2 linked regions of the Anolis sagrei genome follow. The protein of the gene in region 2 interacts with the protein of the main gene of each other region in a pairwise test. Links are inferred from orthologs where the notes say so. Each region holds a gene or a part of one and is shown on either strand. Other genes may lie near its edges.

Region 1 (4,275 bases), on a different chromosome or scaffold from region 2:
CCTGTGTCAATTTTAAACTGCTGTGATCCACATATTAAGACAAGTTTGCTTGCCAACACTTGTACAATCCTTGAATGCTATGAATCTCCACTACTATTACTTGTTGCTACTTTTGGAAGCACATGCTTCCTGGCCACAGCTTAGAGGGCATCATCTATGATGGTGAGAAAGTGTTCAACATCCAAAGTGGCATTGCAAGAATATCTTTCCCACAATCGTTGCAGTGTTACAGTATCTATCAGGTTTTTTATCAGGTTGTGTAGGCATAGTTGCATACTGGTGTAGTGGTAATGCTAGATATGGCACACTATGAAATATTTGCAAGCCATCATGTCATCTAAACTCAGGTTGCCATATTCCAGCACTTCAAATTGGGGCCATCCATTTGAATGCAATGTAAAATTCTGCTAATTATGTACCTCTCAGCAAATCTAGCTCACAAAATTGTTGTGGAGATTATTTGTTGGAGAAGAACCATGTGAAGTATATTCACAGGGGCAGCTCAACCCATTACGCAAAGTAAGCATTTGCAGTATAGTTGATTTTGCCCAGGGGCGCTCTTGAGATGCTCTTGGGGGAAAATAGACCTTGACATATGCGAGTTGTAGTTACTGGGATTTATAGTTCACCTACAATCAAAGAGCATTCTGAACTCCACCAATGATGGAATTCAACCAAATATGGCACACAGAACTCTCACGACGAACAGAAAATATATATCAATGATTGGTTGGGGGGCGGGGGTGGTGCCAAAATACAGTTTGCTTACTGTTGAAAATTACCTAGGGCTGCCTCTGTATATTCATAATGTGAAAAATACCAACCATGTTTTGTCATGGACAGACACTTGTAATGGACTGTATTGTCCATTATTTTTGTATTTTTGTTTTTCCCTTCAGTTTTCTTACTGATGCCCAAAAGTCATGGATGCATGAACATATCAGAAGACTTCACAACTTCAGAGGATGCCTGCCATAGATGCAGGTGAAACGTCAGGAGAGAATGCTTCCAGAACATGGCCTTACATTCCGAAAAACCCTCAACAACCCAGTTATTCTGGCCATGAAATCCTTCGACAATACATATCAGAATAAGTTCCTAAATGTGGGTCATGCTGCCCCACAGGCCATCTCTTGCATCTTGCGATCACTTGCTGCACCTTCTGCCTTCCCTTCTGCCATCTCCATCATCTTCTCTTCTTTGCAACCACAACTCAAAGTCTCTTTTTTCCCTTTCCACTTCATCTGGGCAGGAGATGGATTGGGCCCATGTCACTGCTGTTGTGCCCTCCAGAGGATCAGATGAGCTCTGTATGAATTTCTGGTCAATGCAGGCACTACCTGCTTGCATCAGCAAAGGTGCCTGCATAACCAGAAAGAAGGACAGGGATGAAGGACAGCAACATGAATGGTAAGGTGATGGTCCAGCAGGGCTGATGCAATCTCTGGACTCGGACCAGACTGGTTCTGCTACAGACTGGTTCTGGATTAACTGGCCAGTGTAGATGAGGCTTGAACAGCATTTCTTTATTCACATTTTCTAAAGAAACCAACCATCAACTAAAATGTATTTAATTAGCAGTTAGCCCTAATAGTCTTGGGAAGACAACTAGACTGTTCCATTTCCTGTTCCAGCTGTTAACTCTCTTCTAAGATCAGATGTGCAAACAGATGTGTCTGGGATGGCGTAAGATTCTATCCTGACAGAGAATGCCATATATGCAACATATAATGTTAATGAGCTTAAACAATTATTTTACAGTTTTATAAGCGATGGAATGCCTGCTATATCCTTTTTAATACCCCAGACACTTGTAAATGTGGAACTCTCGTGGTGTCCAAAGCATGACGAAGACCCTCTTTAAAATAAATGATAGCAAAATAATTCATTTTAACACTTCCCTTCCACCTTGCTTTGACTGTGTTTGTTTTTCCTGCCTGTTCCCCGGTGTCTAAGTACTCAGTTGCTTCATAATTTTATGAGTACATATCCAAGCATAACATCTCTTTATCCAACAGAAATCAGAGCCTCAGATCAAAAATTATTCAGTGTTTATACTCTTCTCAAGTAAAAACAAGAAATCAGCCTCAGCCTTTCCTAATATAAATACAAAGAATGAAATATTTTGATCATTAAAGGAGAAAGAGGGAGAAATAAATGTAACATTTACTCTGATTTTAGACACAGGTGGGTTAAAACACCAAGTGGATCCCACTGGATTAATATGGATTGTGACTAAATCCCCTTGCATTAGAAGGACATAAAGAGAATCCAGCAAAGTACATTTATGCAATTTTTAAAAAATTCTCCTGAGTTTTTCAATGCTTTAATTTTTTTTAAAGTTTGTATTTGTCTTCTTTTATACAGATACAGTAGATAGCTAGATAACAATGCTATAACACTATGGTAGTTTTATCATTAATTTCTAGATTTCCAATAAAATTTTCCTACTTCAGTTTTATTTTATAGGTTTCGTTTAAAAAAAATTAAAAAGTTTGCATGCTGTTTTTAAGCTTGGAAGTAATTTATTTATCATATTTTTTTATTTGTCATATTAGAAGCGAACTGAGGGTACAGTTGTGATAATTTTAAAAAACACAAAGTTTAAAAAACTTAGCATTATACTACATTTCTTTTGACCAGTAGCCGGCTATTTTGAGTGCTTCTGGTGTTGCTATAAGAAGGTCCTCCATTGTGCATGTGGCAGGGCTTAGACTGAATTGTAGTAGGTGGTCTGTGGTTTGCTCTTCTCCACACTCGCATGTCGTGGACTCCACTTTATGGAGTAGTTTTTTAATTTATGTGCTTAGTTGTGTTTGCTCATTACTTTTTCCTATTACTTTCTCATTACTTGGGGCTTTTCACCATTTTAATGCTTTTAGACAGATTTTCCTTAAAAATATCAATGGTAAATAATAAGCATTGTATCAACTAGAATGATAAACTGCCAAGAGATCAAGATTAGCAGTAGTAAACTCTTTGTTGTTGTTGTTACCTGTCTTCAAGTTGACTTTGACTTATGGCAACCCTATGAATGAAAGACTTCTCTTATCTTCAATAGATCTGCTTAGATTTCCTTGACTAGGAATGGATCTACACTGCCATATAATGCAGTTTCAGAATGCAGATTAACTACATTGAAACTGATTATATGGCAGTATAGACTCATACAATCCACTTCAATGCAATTAATCTGCATTCTGAAACCACATTATATGGAAGTGTAAATCCAGCTTTAGTCAAACCTTCTGGAATATATGGTCTCCTCTTTTCCTACTTCTATCTAAAAAGGTAAAGTTTTTTCCCTGACATTAAGTCCAGTCGTATCTGACTCTGGGGTGCAGTGCTCATCTCCATTTCTAAGCTGAAGAGTCAGCATTGTCCGTAGACATCTCCAAGATCATGTGGCCGGCATGACTGCATGGAGCGCCATTACCTTCCTGCTGGAGCGATACTTCTATCTACCTTACCATTATTGTTTTTTTTTTTAAAAAAAATAGAGTAATGTATTTTCATTACAACAGCTTCCGTTAAGTCATCTTGACTTCTAGGGAGGTTTCAGGCTTGATTTGCTCTAGGATCCATTTATTTGTATTTCTAGGTGCAAATATTACTTCAGACGCAGACTGCAGCCAGGAAATCAGAAGACGTTTACTTCTTGGGAGGAGAGGAATGAACAATCTTGATAAAATAGTGAACAGACACCACACTGGCAACGAAGATTTGCATAGTTAAAACAATGGTATTCTTGGTAGTAACCTATGAATGTGCAAGCTGGACCATAAGGAAGGCTAAGCAAAGGAAGATAGATGTTTTTGAACTGTGGTATTGGAGGAAAATTCTGAGAGTGCCTTGGACCGCGAGAAGATCAAACCAGTCCATACTCCAGGAAATAATGCCTGGCTGCTCACTTGAGGGAAGGATATTAGAGGCAAAGTACTTTGGCCACATAATGAGAAGACAGGAAAGTTTGGATAAGATGCTAGGGGAAAATGAAATGACTGGCTTGACCTTGAAGGAGCTGGAAGTGTCCATGGCCAACAGGGAGCTTTGATGTGGGCTGGTCCATGAGGTCATGAAGAGTCAGAAGCAACTGAACGAATAAACAACAAACCAATTATTAGTCTTTTCAAAACTAGTTATGCAATCATCAACTCTCCTGTAATTTATATCTTTTTATGCTATGATTTTAGCTCTATTTTGTGAATTGCCCTAGATATCCACTGAGAGATGAGGCAGAAATAATACATTTAAAATACATTTTGCTAACCAGAC
Region 2 (4,275 bases):
AAAGAATTGTTGAAGGCTTTCATGGCTGGAATCACTGGGTTGTTATGTTTTCCAGGCTGTATGGCCATGTTCCAGAAATATTCTCTCCTGACGTTTCACCTGCATGTATCTCAGGCATCCTCAGAGGTTGTGAGGTCTGTTGGAAACTAGGAAAATGGGATCTATATATTTGTGGAATGTCCAGGGTGGGAGAAAGAACTGTTGCCTGTTTGAGGTAGTGAATGTGAATGTTTCAATTGGTCACCTTGATTAGCATTTAATGGCCTAGCAGTTTCAAGGTTTGGCTTCCTACTGCTTGGGGGAATCTTTTGTTGGGAGGTGATTAGTTGACCCAGATTTTCTTGTCTGGAATTCCCCTGTGTTTGAGTATTGTTCTTTATTTACTGTTATGATTTTAGAGTTTTTAAATACCAGATTTTGTTCATTTTCATGGTTTCCTCCTTTCTGTTGAAATTGCCCACATGCTTGTGGATTTCCATTGCTTCTCTGTGTAGTCTGACATGGTGGTTGTTAGAGTGGCCCAGAATTCTCTGTTCTCAAATAATATGCTGTGTCCAGGTTGGTTCATCAGGTGCTCTGCTATGGCTGACTTCTCTAGTTGAAGTAGTCTGCAGTGCCTTTCATGTTCCTTGATTCCTGTTTGGGCAATGCTGCGTTTGGTGGTCCCTATGTAGACATTCCACAGATATATAAACATTCCACACACATATAAAAACTCGATTTTCCTAGTGTCCAGCAGACCTCTGAGAATGCCTGCCATAGATGCAGGCAAAATGTCAGGAGAGAATGCTTCTGGAACATGACCATACATACATACAACCCAAGAGTCAAAGAATTTGACAGAGGACAGAAAGTCTTAGGATGAATGTTTTCTTCCCAGACCGGTCTTATCTGCTTCAAAAGCCTGTGAGAAAGTAAGGAGTAAGATGGCCATTTTTAATTGGGTCAACATTTGTTGACAAATACATGCTAGCAGGCTTTTTCGAGGCTGTTCAGGCTGTTCTTCAGAGCTCGGTCTTTCAGCTGTGTGGCAGTCAGTGGAAGATTTCCTGCCGACAGCAGCTGCTCAGGGAGTAGTTCATTGAGTGCTAGGGAATGATCTGGCTCTGCTTTGTGTTTGGAGCACGAAAGGGTCTGTAATGTGATGCTTGGACTTTTAAAGCAGGGGGGACTGAGGTGGGCAAGAGTAGAGAAGACTATGGGGCTCCTGCTTAGTTTGTTTTGTATGCCAGCCAGAGAGTAGGAGGAAGAAAATCCCCAGGGCTTTCCTTTGGCCCACATCCAAGAGGTTTTGCGCACTCTTCTGTGCCAGGTGCAGGAAAGAAGCAAATCTTTACAGATAGCTGCCTTCTAGCCTGGATCCTAAGTTTGGTGGCTCATGTGCCTGGACTTGGAGTGTCTCTCTCTGGGTTATGTCTTGAAGCGGGCGAGGAAACCAATGAGAACGTGATGTGCACCGCACATGTGGGAACACGCACACACAAACCCAGTGGTTAGCAGGGAAGAAATGTGAAGCGACAGCCGCTCCTCCCCGCCTGGCCTGTGATTAGCTGGGGAGGAATGTTTGGCTGTGACGTGGGCCAATTCCTCCAGCCTTTCTCTGGTTTTGGAGGAGAGTTGGTAATGTTAGCAAAGAGGGCAAGCAGCAGGAGTCAACTTTCAATCACAAGTGGTTTGACTCTTGCAAGATGTGGTGGCCAGCCTCCTCTGCCATTTTCCTGCACCGAGAAGCTTCTCCAGGGGTTTCTCTTCTGGTCCAGAAGTCTGGCAGCTGTTGACTGAGGTTGCATTTTTGGTATGTATCTCTTTCTTCTCTTCCCCTCCCTCTCTGCATGCCAAAATGTACTGTATACAGGATGCAAGGCAGAGTTGTTGGTGTTGCCGTTCAATATTCTTTGGCACAATTTGAGATGCAGTGCTGCCTAAAGCCGTCCCTCCCTCTCCTGATCATCCTACAACAAATTTCAGGGGAGAGAAAACAAGCAAACAAACTCTGGCTGTGCTTGTGTTTGAAATTTGGATCTCAGAGCTGGCTTTTTGGGCGGGGAACACCATTTTGAAGCAGCTGAATGTCTAAGTGCAAATAAAATAGGGGGGTAAAGTGAAGCATTGCTAAATTTGAACAGGAAAGTGAACAAGAAAGAACTGTTTTAATGGCTAATGTGGAGGTTGAAGCGTCAAAGTACTGACTGTTATTAACAAAGTATGGCTCTCTGTATTCAGTTCTTAGACCATATTGAGTACATCGTCTTCTTTTTGCTTTTGGATAAGGAATTAGCAGCAGCTCTGGAGTTTATTAGTTTGCTATGGGAACTTCTGTCATTACGTACCTGCAATCCTGATTTATTGTGTAAAGCATATGCCAAACACCCTATTGTATAATTTTAGTTTTTAAACTTTAGTATTTTTGGTATTTCAGGAGAAAGGTGGTATCCGGGGAATTTACTTCACTTTCAAAACTTGAGGCAGGTAAGTTGTGTGAGGAAGAAGTTTATAGGGCTTTTGAGGGAAAGATATGAGTTGTAAACTGAATGGAGGTCTGTTGTTGAAGGCTTTCATGGCTGGAACCATTGGGTTGCTATGAGGTGCCTTGGGGGTGCTGTTCTTTGTTTAACTTTAGATAGCTCTCTGTTCACATGCAATGCAAACTAGTTGACTTTAAGAGTAGGTCTGATAGGTATCAGGCACTTTCTGATTAGATCAAAGCCTAGCAGATTTGTTTGAAATAGAGCATGACTTCACTTGTAGGTGGAGGGCACCCTTTTCCTCCCCCCACATCTTTCCTTTCTCATTATTTTGTTATTTTGATTTTTTTCTTTGCTCTTCTCAAATTTGTATTTGTCACTGGACTGATAGTCTATGGTTATTCTGGAGAATGTAAAACTAATCAAACAAAGTAATCATATACATTTAAATGACAACAGTCCAGGATGGTACTCACCAACACACTTCTTGGCAATGTTGTGTTGAACTGTGTCTCTTGTGGATTGAATAAAGTCTTTTTCCTCACTATGTAAGGTAATTAGCTCAACTGTGCAAGGACATTATGCATTATCATCCAACTTTAATATGTTTTATACCACTGTTTTATATTATCTGCTTGTAATTGTTTATTTATTTATGTATTTACTTTATTTATACCCTGCCCTCTCTCACCCCGAAGGAGACTCAGAGCGGCTTACAGATTGGCAACAATTCAGTGCCATATAAACAAACATATAAGAACAATAAGGCTATATATTTAAACTATAAAAGTTAAGAAAAAAATCTATGCATTAAAATGAATTATTAACACCACACAAATCCAAAGTCATAGTCCAGGATCCATTTCAATCATGTTGAAATTATTTCGTATCCTCTTATTGCACTGAGTTACTATCCGAAGGCTTGGTCCCATAGCCAAGTTTTTGATTTCTTTCTATAGGTCAGGAGGGAGGGAGCTGATCTAATTTTGTTGGGGAGGGAGTTCCATAATTGATGGGCCACCACTGAGAAGGCCCTGTCTCTCATCCCCACCAATCATGTCTGTGAAGTAGGTAGGACCAGAAGGGCCTCCCCAGAAGATCTTAACCTCCATGGTAGTTCATAGAGCAGTGGTTCTCAACCATCCTAATGCCAGGAACCCTTCATACAGTTCCCCATGTTGTGGTGACCCCTAACATTATTTTCGTTTCTACTTCATAACCGTAATTTTGCTACTGTTATGTATCATAATGTAAATATCTGATATGCAGGATATATTTTCATTCATTGGATCAAATTTGGCACAAATACCTTATATGCCCAAATTTGAATACTTGTGGGATTGGTGGGGGTTGAATTTGTCATTTGGGAGTTATAATTGCTAGGATTTATCGTCAACATACAATCTGAATTCCGCCAATGATGGAACTGTACAAAATTTGGCACACACAACTCCCATGACCAAGAGAAAATACTGGAAAGTTTTGGTGGGCATTGACCTTGAGTTTTGGAGTTGTAGTTCACCTACATCTAGAGAACACTGTGGGTCCAAACAATGATGGATCTGGACCAAACTTGGCACAAATCCTCAATATGCCCAAATATGAACAGTGGTGGAGTTTGGAGAAAATAAACCTTGACATTTTGGAGTTGTAGTTGCTGGGATTTATAGTTCACCTACAATCAAAGAGCATTCTGAACTCCACCAACGATAGCATTGGGCCAAACTTCCCACACAGAACCCCCAGGACCAACAGAAAATACTGAATTTTCTGATAGTCTTTCGTGATCCCTTGTGACCCCCCCCCTCCC

Evidence for each region.
Region 1: the proteins of LZTS2 (region 2) and TNIP3 interact in binary tests that used the Homo sapiens proteins (3 or more experiments, as listed by UniProt). The two-hybrid records come from large-scale screens. The link is inferred for Anolis sagrei from reciprocal best matches to the Homo sapiens genes LZTS2 and TNIP3.

Annotation. Positions count from the first base shown.
Region 1 is NC_090025.1:36,193,975-36,198,249, reverse strand, and holds the start of TNIP3 (TNFAIP3-interacting protein 3), read left to right. Parts: upstream 1-1,388; coding exon 1,389-1,415; intron 1,416-4,275. UniProt on the Homo sapiens protein: Binds to zinc finger protein TNFAIP3 and inhibits NF-kappa-B activation induced by tumor necrosis factor, Toll-like receptor 4 (TLR4), interleukin-1 and 12-O-tetradecanoylphorbol-13-acetate.
Region 2 is NC_090023.1:215,471,389-215,475,663, forward strand, and holds the start of LZTS2 (leucine zipper putative tumor suppressor 2), read left to right. Parts: upstream 1-1,359; 5' UTR 1,360-1,795; intron 1,796-2,419; 5' UTR 2,420-2,469; intron 2,470-4,275. UniProt on the Homo sapiens protein: Negative regulator of katanin-mediated microtubule severing and release from the centrosome. Required for central spindle formation and the completion of cytokinesis.